Linked DNA regions of Saccharomyces cerevisiae S288C. The gene in region 1 interacts genetically with each later gene. Each region holds a gene or a part of one and is shown on either strand. Other genes may lie near its edges.

Region 1 (5,820 bases):
GTATACGAGGCGCACGCTTCATAGTGCCTATACCTTTTATTGCATTTCCAAGGCACAAGAATGTTTTCTCACAGTGTACATACTTCCGAAGAATCCCTTTAGGGTGCCTTCAGAGATGCAGCTGCAGCTTTTGGCCAAGAAAAAGCCAAAACCAAATTTGCTTTGAACCCTCGTTAAGAGGCCACCTAATCTTTGTGCTCTAAACGGTTGCTACGGGAAAATTGTCGATTCTGTTTTTCTTAAAATAGAAAGTGAAAGACTTATCGAATACCGGAGTCGTATATTGTAGGTGCCTACAGTCTTATACACTGCCAGCAAAAATGTTGACAAGAATAAATGAGCATTCGAGGTGCTACGAAGCCCTAGTTCTGAAACAGCGGAACTTCCACTGGATCAAGCTGGCCATACCGGAAACTATACCGGAAATTGATAAATCAACATCTTAATAAGTATTATATAATTTTTTTTGTAATACTAATAATCGGAGAACAGCACCAGCGCTTCGTATGTTAGGCAACGGTTGCCGCCTAGGTCTACGTTTCTCTATTCATTATATGGTAAGTGAAGGAGACAAAAAGTGGCGGCTTACATACAGAACTTCTATCCTATGGATGTACCTGCAGTCTTTCTGTTTGGATGAAATTGATAGAGGGCTTAGTGTTACTAATACAGAAAGCCTTTAAGCCTTTTTCTCCCTTTTATTCACCGTTTCAATATGTCTATCATTCTGGTCATGTGTTTTTCTTCCAGGAATTTACAATTATTACAGCGATAAGTAATCATACGTATCCAGATTATAGGCCCGTTGCTGAAGAATAACTACACTTCTCTGATATATAGTTATAGCTCAATAACTAATGGCATAGGGGACACAGATTTTCGTAGTCAAATTTCTCAAAGGATAAGAGCGTCATTCCACCTCTTCTCTTCACTTCGTTGGCTTTTATATATTGATTGTGGGGTGTTAATGTTGTAGAGTTACCGAAGTAGCAAGATTCTTATGCGCTTATTTTCTTTTGCTTAATCACACTGTCTAAAGCATATGGATTATGGACAGATGATTGGTTTAGTTCATCTGAAGGCTAGACAATAAAAGGCGGGTTCGGAAGGGGGTAGGCATGCTCAGACTTGACGTAAACGCATAAGCCGGCAATGTTGAATCGATTTTGTAACTCGCCTGAGTGTTACATGAGATTACATATAGGATCGAACCATCACGAAATCAATTACGCTGTGTTATTGAATCATAAAATCACAGAGCTTCCCGAGAAAACGCTAAATTATGTGTCAAGTACTGTGGGCATCTCTTAACGCTATCTTATATTCATTTCACTTTTTATATCTAGTCCTTTTCTTTTCTTTATTAAATAAAACTACCACCTTGTATGATTCTTAGCAAGACATTCCAGCATTAATACCAGCACAGGTTTCTTCTCCCTTGTTTTCATCCGAAGAGAAAGGATAGTGCTTCTTATGCTTCATTAATAATTTGGAATTCACATTTATATACACGCTAAATATCATAATGAACGAGGATCATGTAGAAAAACACATTTACCCATAATGGTGAAACAAATTATCAACAGTGCTTTTACGTTATCATCATTTACATATAAAAAATTTATCTAACAAAAATCATGTGAAAAATCATCTGTTATTTCGTTAAAGTACGCGCTAAAAAAAAGTCGGCACTAATTTTATTTGACGAGGTAGATTCTACCTTCCCATGGTTTCAAAACTCTGGAGGAAACGTCAGTATCATCATAATTTCCAAGAATAAAAGATAAAGAAGCACCTTCTCTTGGGAGGCTGAATTCAATTTCTTCGCCACTGAAATTCAAAGCAGCAAACAGCGTCTTGTCTTCGTACTCTTTAGTGAAGCTAAAGATCTGGTCACTGTCTAAATCAATGAATTGGAAATCGTAACCATAAATCATAAGTTCCTTATATTTCTTTCTGGCTTGCAAGGCCCTTTTCCAAAAATTGAGAACTGAGTCATCATCTCTGGATTCCTGCTCAACATTGATTCCTTGCTCAAAAGATTCATTCAAGAAAAACCAAGGTTTAACATCTGGGCCAGTAAATCCAGCATTGGGCTTATCTTTCGTCCATGGCATGGGAGTTCTCGAATGATCTCTAGAAAGTAGGGCGATTCCTTTAAAAAAATCCTTCATTTCCTTCGAGTTTTTACCAAAACTTTTTTTGATAATCTCGTAGTTGTTTTTCACATCAACGTCCTCATACTTTTCAATAGGCCATTCCTTGAAATTGATCTGGCCTATCTCCTGACCTTGATAGACATACAACGTACCTGTCAATGAACATTCTAGCAATGTTAACAGCTTACCAGATATTTTACGGTACTTTGGCGAATCGTCAGCAAATCTCGTAATTGACCGGGCTTGATCGTGATTCTCGATGTAGGTGGTAGCCCAACTATCAGTACCGTTAATGAACAAAAAGTTCGATGCAATGGCTTCTTTCCATTGTTTCAAGGTGAAGGGCACTATGTTATAACGGAAAAATGGCGAGGTACCAAGTTCAACGTGCGTGAAGGAGAAAACTTCGCTGACTTCGTATCTAGCTGCACTGGTGTATAAAGCATTATCACTTCCATGGGCAACTTCACCGACTGTCATTATTTCTCTACCATCTTTCACCCTGTTTTTCATAAATCTGTGTAGTTCTTGATGATATTCATGAATCCTAGGACCATTGTGAGACCCCCAATTTGGATGTTGTAATTTCGAGGTTTTGTCAAAAATTGGGGAATCTGGTAAACCAGGACGTTTCGAATACAAACCAGCGGTATCGATTCTAAAACCATCTACACCATGGTCCAGCCAAAATCCAACAGCACTTTCAAAGATTGCCCTTCTGCAGTCTTCATTCTCCCAATTCAAGTCAACTTGACGACTCGCAAACAAACGGAGGTAAAATTCATTTGTAGTTTCATCAAAAGTCCAAGCTGAACCACCAAAGAAAGATTTCCAATTGTTTGGAGGAATTGGCTTGCCTTCGGCGTCATAACCTTTAGGAGGTCTCCAGAAGAACCAGTCACGCTTCGGATTGGTCTTCGAGGATCTGCTCTCTTTGAACCATTCGTGTTCTGTAGAACAGTGGTTGATAACCAAATCGGTGATGAATTTCATACCCAGCTTATGAGTCTTGTCAATTAGCTCAAAACAGTCCTCGTTGGTACCGTATGTGGGCCAGACCTTTTCGTAGTTAGATATATCATACCCCATATCTTGTTGAGGAGAGTCATAAAACGGACAAACCCAAATAGCATCAACGCCAAGATCTTTAATATACTGCAACTTGGAAGTGATACCTTTTAAATCACCCCAGCCATCGTTATTGGAGTCTTTAAAACTTGCTGGGTAAATTTGATAGATTGTGGCCTCTTTCCACCACTTTGGTTCTGTTTCTGGATGATCAGAAATAGTCATTTATGTATTTTAGTTACGCTTGACTGATGTACATTTGAGATTATCAAAAAAACTGCTTAAGAGATAGATGGTTTAATTTTTTAGAGACGTATTAATGGAACTTTTTATACCTTGCCCAGAGCGCCTCAAGAAAATGATGCTGAAAGAAGAATTGAGGAAGGAACTACTCATCTTACGTTGTTTGTATCATCCCACGATCCAAATCATGTTACCTACGTTAGGTACGCTAGGAACTGAAAAAAGAAAAGAAAAGTATGCGTTATCACTCTTCGAGCCAATTCTTAATTGTGTGGGGTCCGCGAAAACTTCCGGATAAATCCTGTAAACTTAAACTTAAACCCCGTGTTTAGCGAAATTTTCAACGAAGCGCGCAATAAGGAGAAATATTATATAAAAGCGAGAGTTTAAGCGAGGTTGCAAGAATCTCTACGGTACAGATGCAACTTACTATAGCCAAGGTCTATTCGTATTGGTATCCAAGCAGTGAAGCTACTCAGGGGAAAACATATTTTCAGAGATCAAAGTTATGTCAGTCTCTTTTTCATGTGTAACTTAACGTTTGTGCAGGTATCATACCGGCCTCCACATAATTTTTGTGGGGAAGACGTTGTTGTAGCAGTCTCCTTATACTCTCCAACAGGTGTTTAAAGACTTCTTCAGGCCTCATAGTCTACATCTGGAGACAACATTAGATAGAAGTTTCCACAGAGGCAGCTTTCAATATACTTTCGGCTGTGTACATTTCATCCTGAGTGAGCGCATATTGCATAAGTACTCAGTATATAAAGAGACACAATATACTCCATACTTGTTGTGAGTGGTTTTAGCGTATTCAGTATAACAATAAGAATTACATCCAAGACTATTAATTAACTATGAAGGGATTATCCTCATTAATAAACAGAAAAAAAGACAGGAACGACTCACACTTAGATGAGATCGAGAATGGCGTGAACGCTACCGAATTCAACTCGATAGAGATGGAGGAGCAAGGTAAGAAAAGTGATTTTGATCTTTCCCATCTTGAGTACGGTCCAGGTTCACTAATACCAAACGATAATAATGAAGAAGTCCCCGACCTTCTCGATGAAGCTATGCAGGACGCCAAAGAGGCAGATGAAAGTGAGAGGGGAATGCCACTCATGACAGCTTTGAAGACATATCCAAAAGCTGCTGCTTGGTCACTATTAGTTTCCACAACATTGATTCAAGAGGGTTATGACACAGCCATTCTAGGAGCTTTCTATGCCCTGCCTGTTTTTCAAAAAAAATATGGTTCTTTGAATAGCAATACAGGAGATTATGAAATTTCAGTTTCCTGGCAAATCGGTCTATGTCTATGCTACATGGCAGGTGAGATTGTCGGTTTGCAAATGACTGGGCCTTCTGTAGATTACATGGGCAACCGTTACACTCTGATCATGGCGTTGTTCTTTTTAGCGGCTTTCATTTTCATTCTGTATTTTTGCAAGAGTTTGGGTATGATTGCCGTGGGACAGGCATTGTGTGGTATGCCATGGGGTTGTTTCCAATGTTTGACCGTTTCTTATGCTTCTGAAATTTGTCCTTTGGCCCTAAGATACTATTTGACGACTTATTCTAATTTATGTTGGGCGTTCGGTCAACTTTTCGCTGCTGGTATTATGAAAAATTCCCAGAACAAATATGCCAACTCAGAACTAGGATATAAGCTACCTTTTGCTTTGCAGTGGATCTGGCCCCTTCCTTTGGCGGTAGGTATTTTTTTTGCACCAGAGTCTCCATGGTGGCTGGTTAAAAAAGGAAGGATTGATCAAGCGAGGAGATCACTTGAAAGAACATTAAGTGGTAAAGGACCCGAGAAAGAATTACTAGTGAGTATGGAACTCGATAAAATCAAAACTACTATAGAAAAGGAGCAGAAAATGTCTGATGAAGGAACTTACTGGGATTGTGTGAAAGATGGTATTAACAGGAGAAGAACGAGAATAGCTTGTTTATGTTGGATCGGTCAATGCTCCTGTGGTGCATCATTAATTGGTTATTCAACTTACTTTTATGAAAAAGCTGGTGTTAGCACTGATACGGCTTTTACTTTCAGTATTATCCAATATTGTCTTGGTATTGCTGCAACGTTTATATCCTGGTGGGCTTCAAAATATTGTGGCAGATTTGACCTTTATGCTTTTGGGCTGGCTTTTCAGGCTATTATGTTCTTCATTATCGGTGGTTTAGGATGTTCAGACACTCATGGCGCTAAAATGGGTAGTGGTGCTCTTCTAATGGTTGTCGCGTTCTTTTACAACCTCGGTATTGCACCTGTTGTTTTTTGCTTAGTGTCTGAAATACCGTCTTCAAGGCTAAGAACCAAAACAATTATTTTGGCTCG
Region 2 (4,950 bases), on another chromosome or scaffold:
AAGCGATTGTGAAACTATGTGATATGTTTTGAGATATTTCATGAACCATATAGAATATGCATAGTATATCCCAATAAAGCATTGAATTATGAATGTCGTATCTCTATAAGCTCTCACATTAATGCTTCAAAAATACTTCATAAAACATTATAATATAGTTTAATGTGATTTTTGCGTGATTCTCTCCTTCTTTTTATTAAGTGTATGGACATTTAAAGTAACAGTTAATTGAGAATACGGTTGACCTGGCATGTTGTTCGAATCAATATCCAGGCACAAGTACCAGGTGCTAAAGAAAAAGTACTCTCATATTTGCTTGATTGCTGCTTGGGCTATTTTAACTAACTACTAACAATATTTTGCTTAAAAAATGGTAAATATGAATGTTTTACAGAAAAATAAAAAATGTATATATATAAAATCTCGAGCTAGCTGAGGGTTTTGGGAGCAGTCAAAGGGATTCCTTATTTCTTCCAAAAAAAAAAAAACAACCCTTTTACTTAACATTTATCAGCTGCATTTAATTCTCGCTGTTTTATGCTTGAGGACTGACTGATACTCTCATCAGCTAGCGAATCATGTTGAGTTTTTCCCTTTCCGAATGGATCAACCACAGTAGATGCAAATTTTCTGGCAGGAACCCCTTGGTTGAAAAGTTCATTAATTTCACTGAAGGTTCTACCAGTTGTCTCAGGCAGATCGATGATGACCCAAGCTAAAGTGACTGCTGTGAAACCACCCCAGTATAGACCAGTTTTGGCACCCCAGTTCCAATCGCTCACGTTTAGCATATAGGGCGTTAATATAGCGTTAATAACGGCCATGAGATTGTAGCAAATACGGGCCAGCACTATAGTCTTAGTTCTCAACTCCGCTGATGGAATTTCAGCAACGATACAGTAAACAACTGCACCGATACCAGCATTGTAAAAGAATGATAAAGCCAGCAATAAACCACCGGCACCATTACTAGCGCTGCTTCCAGAACCAAAACCCATTCCACCAATAATAAATAAGCAGACCATTTGAAATGCAAGACCATAGGTCAGTATTGTCCATCTACCAACACGGCCAGATATTACCCAGGAGCAAAGTGTACCCGCTAACCCAAGACAGTACTGAATTAGAGAAAAAGTAAACGCCTTGTCGGTGGCCATACCTGCTCTTTCAAAAAAATATGTCGAGTAACCAAGTAAAACGGCACCGCTACTATTTTGAGCTACCCAAGTTAAACATGCAAGTCTCGTTCTTCTTCCATTAACTCCCTTGAAACAATTAAAGAATGATCCTGATTTAGATGCTAAAAGTCTTTCTTTTTCAATAGTCAATTCAATCTGCTTTAAAGTAAGATCAACTTGAATGTCCTTCTCGGCGCCTTTACCACTCAAAATTCTGCTTAAAGATTTTCTTGCCTCAGCGACCCTATCCTTTCTCACCAACCACCAGGGCGACTCAGGAGCGAAAAAGATACCGATCATTAAAGGAGCAGGCCAAATCCATTGTAAAGCAAATGGCAATTTATAGCCCAAGTCGGAGTTCCCTAAATTCTCTTGTGAGTTTTTCATAATACCAGAGGCGAAGATTTGACCAAATAACCAACAAATGTTGGAGTAACTGGTCATGTAATATCTTAATGCTAAAGGGCAAACTTCCGAAGCATAAGTAACAGCCAAACTTTGGAAACAACCCCATGGTATAGCTGAGAGAATTTGTCCCACAGCAATCATAGCTAAACTTTTACAGTAGTAGAGGATAAAGATATAAGCAGTTAACAAACCAAGTGCTGTAATCATCGTATAACGATTCCCCATAAATTCAACCATATAAGTCGTGATTTGCAAACCAATCATCTCACCACAAAGGACACACATGTTTAAACCAATCTGCCATTGGGAAGTAATTTCGTAAGAACCCTCCCCGTTCAAAGTACCGAATTTTCTCTGAAAAACTGGCAGGGCATACAGTGCGCTCAGTAGTGCGGTATCATAACCTTCCATAACCAGGGTAGTAGACACTAATATGGACCACAGGGCTGCTTTTGGATATTTTAGCAACGCCTGCTTCAAAGTCATGCTTTTTTCCTCGCTGTTAGCTTCATTTGCATCATCAGTAGCGTTCATCTCATTAATCACATTCTCGTTATCTTCGTCAGAATCTCCTAACTGGGCTGAATTGGTGGTGAACTCTAAGTGGTCTAGCTCAAAGGCACTATCCTTTTTCCCTTCTTCAAAATCTTCAGTATTGAAAACCTCCTGTTGGTTTACAATATCTCTTGAAGACTCAGAAATGTTTTTATCCTCATTTTTTGAGGCAGCCTTCTTCTTGCTTACCAATGAAATGATATTTTTCATATTATACTATTTTTTTAGTTGTTTGATGTTCTTCTATGTAGCATCAGAAAGAAACACCAACCCGAAAATTCTTCAAACAATCAATACCAAACCGCTTTATATAAAAAATTAAGATGTCGACATTCCTTATTTTTTACTGAGTTCGTTAAAGTTGGGTACACTCTTGATTACTGTAATTGTCTCTGTATGTCCCTCAAGCCCGGTACGTTGTCATTTTCTAGTACGCATCAACGGAGTGTTACATGATAGATAGACCGAGTAGAATCTATGGCTATGGGGTAATTAAAACCTTAAAGCTCCTTTCGCTGCCATAGTAATACGAATAGACCTTGGCTATAGTAAGTTGCATCTGTACCGTAGAGATTCTTGCAACTCGCTTAAACTCTCGCTTTTAGATAATATTTCTCCTTATTGCGCGCTTCGTTGAAAATTTCGCTAAACACGGGGTTTAAGTTAAAGTTTACAGGATTTATCCGGAAATTTTCGCGGACCCCACACAATTAAGAATTGGCTCGAAGAGTGATAACGCATACTTTTCTTTTCTTTTTTTAGTTCCTAGCGTACCTAACGTAGGTAACATGATTTGGATCGTGGGATGATACAAACAACGTAAGATGAATAGTTCCTTCCTCAATTCTTCTTGCAGCATCATTTTCTTGAGGCGCTCTGGGCAAGGTATAAAAAGTTCCATTAATACGTCTCTAAAAAATTAAATCATCCATCTCTTAAGCAGTTTTTTTGATAATCTCAAATGTACATCAGTCAAGCGTAACTAAATTACATAAATGACTATTTCTGATCATCCAGAAACAGAACCAAAGTGGTGGAAAGAGGCCACAATCTATCAAATTTACCCAGCAAGTTTTAAAGACTCCAATAACGATGGCTGGGGTGATTTAAAAGGTATCACTTCCAAGTTGCAGTATATTAAAGATCTTGGCGTTGATGCTATTTGGGTTTGTCCGTTTTATGACTCTCCTCAACAAGATATGGGGTATGATATATCCAACTACGAAAAGGTCTGGCCCACATATGGTACCAATGAGGACTGTTTTGAGCTAATTGACAAGACTCATAAGCTGGGTATGAAATTCATCACCGATTTGGTTATCAACCACTGTTCTACAGAACACGAATGGTTCAAAGAGAGCAGATCCTCGAAGACCAATCCGAAGCGTGACTGGTTCTTCTGGAGACCTCCTAAGGGTTATGACGCCGAAGGCAAGCCAATTCCTCCAAACAATTGGAAATCTTTCTTTGGTGGTTCAGCTTGGACTTTTGATGAAACTACAAATGAATTTTACCTCCGTTTGTTTGCGAGTCGTCAAGTTGACTTGAATTGGGAGAATGAAGACTGCAGAAGGGCAATCTTTGAAAGTGCTGTTGGATTTTGGCTGGACCATGGTGTAGATGGTTTTAGAATCGATACCGCTGGTTTGTATTCGAAACGTCCTGGTTTACCAGATTCCCCAATTTTTGACAAAACCTCGAAATTACAACATCCAAATTGGGGGTCTCACAATGGTCCTAGGATTCATGAATATCATCAAGAACTACACAGATTTATGAAAAACAGGGTGAAAGATGGTAGAGAAATAATGACAGTCGGTGAAGTTGCCCATGGAAGTGATAATGCTTTATACACCAGTGCAGCTAGATACGAAGTCAGCGAAGTTTTCTCCTTCACGCACGTTGAAGTTGGTACCTCGCCATTTTTCCGTTATAACATAGTGCCCTTCACCTTGAAACAATGGAAAGAAGCCATTGCATCGAACTTTTTGTTCATTAACGGTACTGATAGTTGGGCTACCACCTACATCGAGAATCACGATCAAGCCCGGTCAATTACGAGATTTGCTGACGATTCGCCAAAGTACCGTAAAATATCTGGTAAGCTGTTAACATTGCTAGAATGTTCATTGACAGGTACGTTGTATGTCTATCAAGGTCAGGAGATAGGCCAGATCAATTTCAAGGAATGGCCTATTGAAAAGTATGAGGACGTTGATGTGAAAAACAACTACGAGATTATCAAAAAAAGTTTTGGTAAAAACTCGAAGGAAATGAAGGATTTTTTTAAAGGAATCGCCCTACTTTCTAGAGATCATTCGAGAACTCCCATGCCATGGACGAAAGATAAGCCCAATGCTGGATTTACTGGCCCAGATGTTAAACCTTGGTTTCTCTTGAATGAATCTTTCGAGCAAGGAATCAATGTTGAGCAGGAATCCAGAGATGATGACTCAGTTCTCAATTTTTGGAAAAGGGCCTTGCAAGCCAGAAAGAAATATAAGGAACTTATGATTTATGGTTACGATTTCCAATTCATTGATTTAGACAGTGACCAGATCTTTAGCTTCACTAAAGAGTACGAAGACAAGACGCTGTTTGCTGCTTTAAATTTCAGTGGCGAAGAAATTGAATTCAGCCTCCCAAGAGAAGGTGCTTCTTTATCTTTTATTCTTGGAAATTATGATGATACTGACGTTTCCTCCAGAGTTTTGAAACCATGGGAAGGTAGAATCTACCTCGTCAAATAAAATTAGTGCCGGCTTTTTTTTAGCGCGTACTTTAACGAAATAACACATGATTTTTCACA

The links. A genetic interaction does not mean that the proteins touch.
Region 2: of MAL32 (region 1) and MAL11, changing one enhances a phenotype caused by changing the other (phenotypic enhancement), as found in Saccharomyces cerevisiae (one study listed by BioGRID).

Annotation. Positions count from the first base shown.
Region 1 is NC_001134.8:802,983-808,802, reverse strand, and holds MAL32 (alpha-glucosidase MAL32), read right to left. Parts: upstream 3,453-5,820; coding exon 1,698-3,452; downstream 1-1,697. Other genes in the region: YBR298C-A (uncharacterized protein), read left to right, coding at 3,547-3,768; MAL31 (maltose permease), read left to right, coding at 4,328-5,820.
Region 2 is NC_001139.9:1,073,463-1,078,412, forward strand, and holds MAL11 (alpha-glucoside permease), read right to left. Parts: upstream 2,352-4,950; coding exon 501-2,351; downstream 1-500. Other genes in the region: alpha-glucosidase MAL12, read left to right, coding at 3,137-4,891. UniProt on the Saccharomyces cerevisiae protein: High-affinity uptake of alpha-glucosides such as maltose, turanose, isomaltose, alpha-methylglucoside, maltotriose, palatinose, trehalose, melezitose and glucose. Acts with the concomitant transport of protons into the cell (symport system).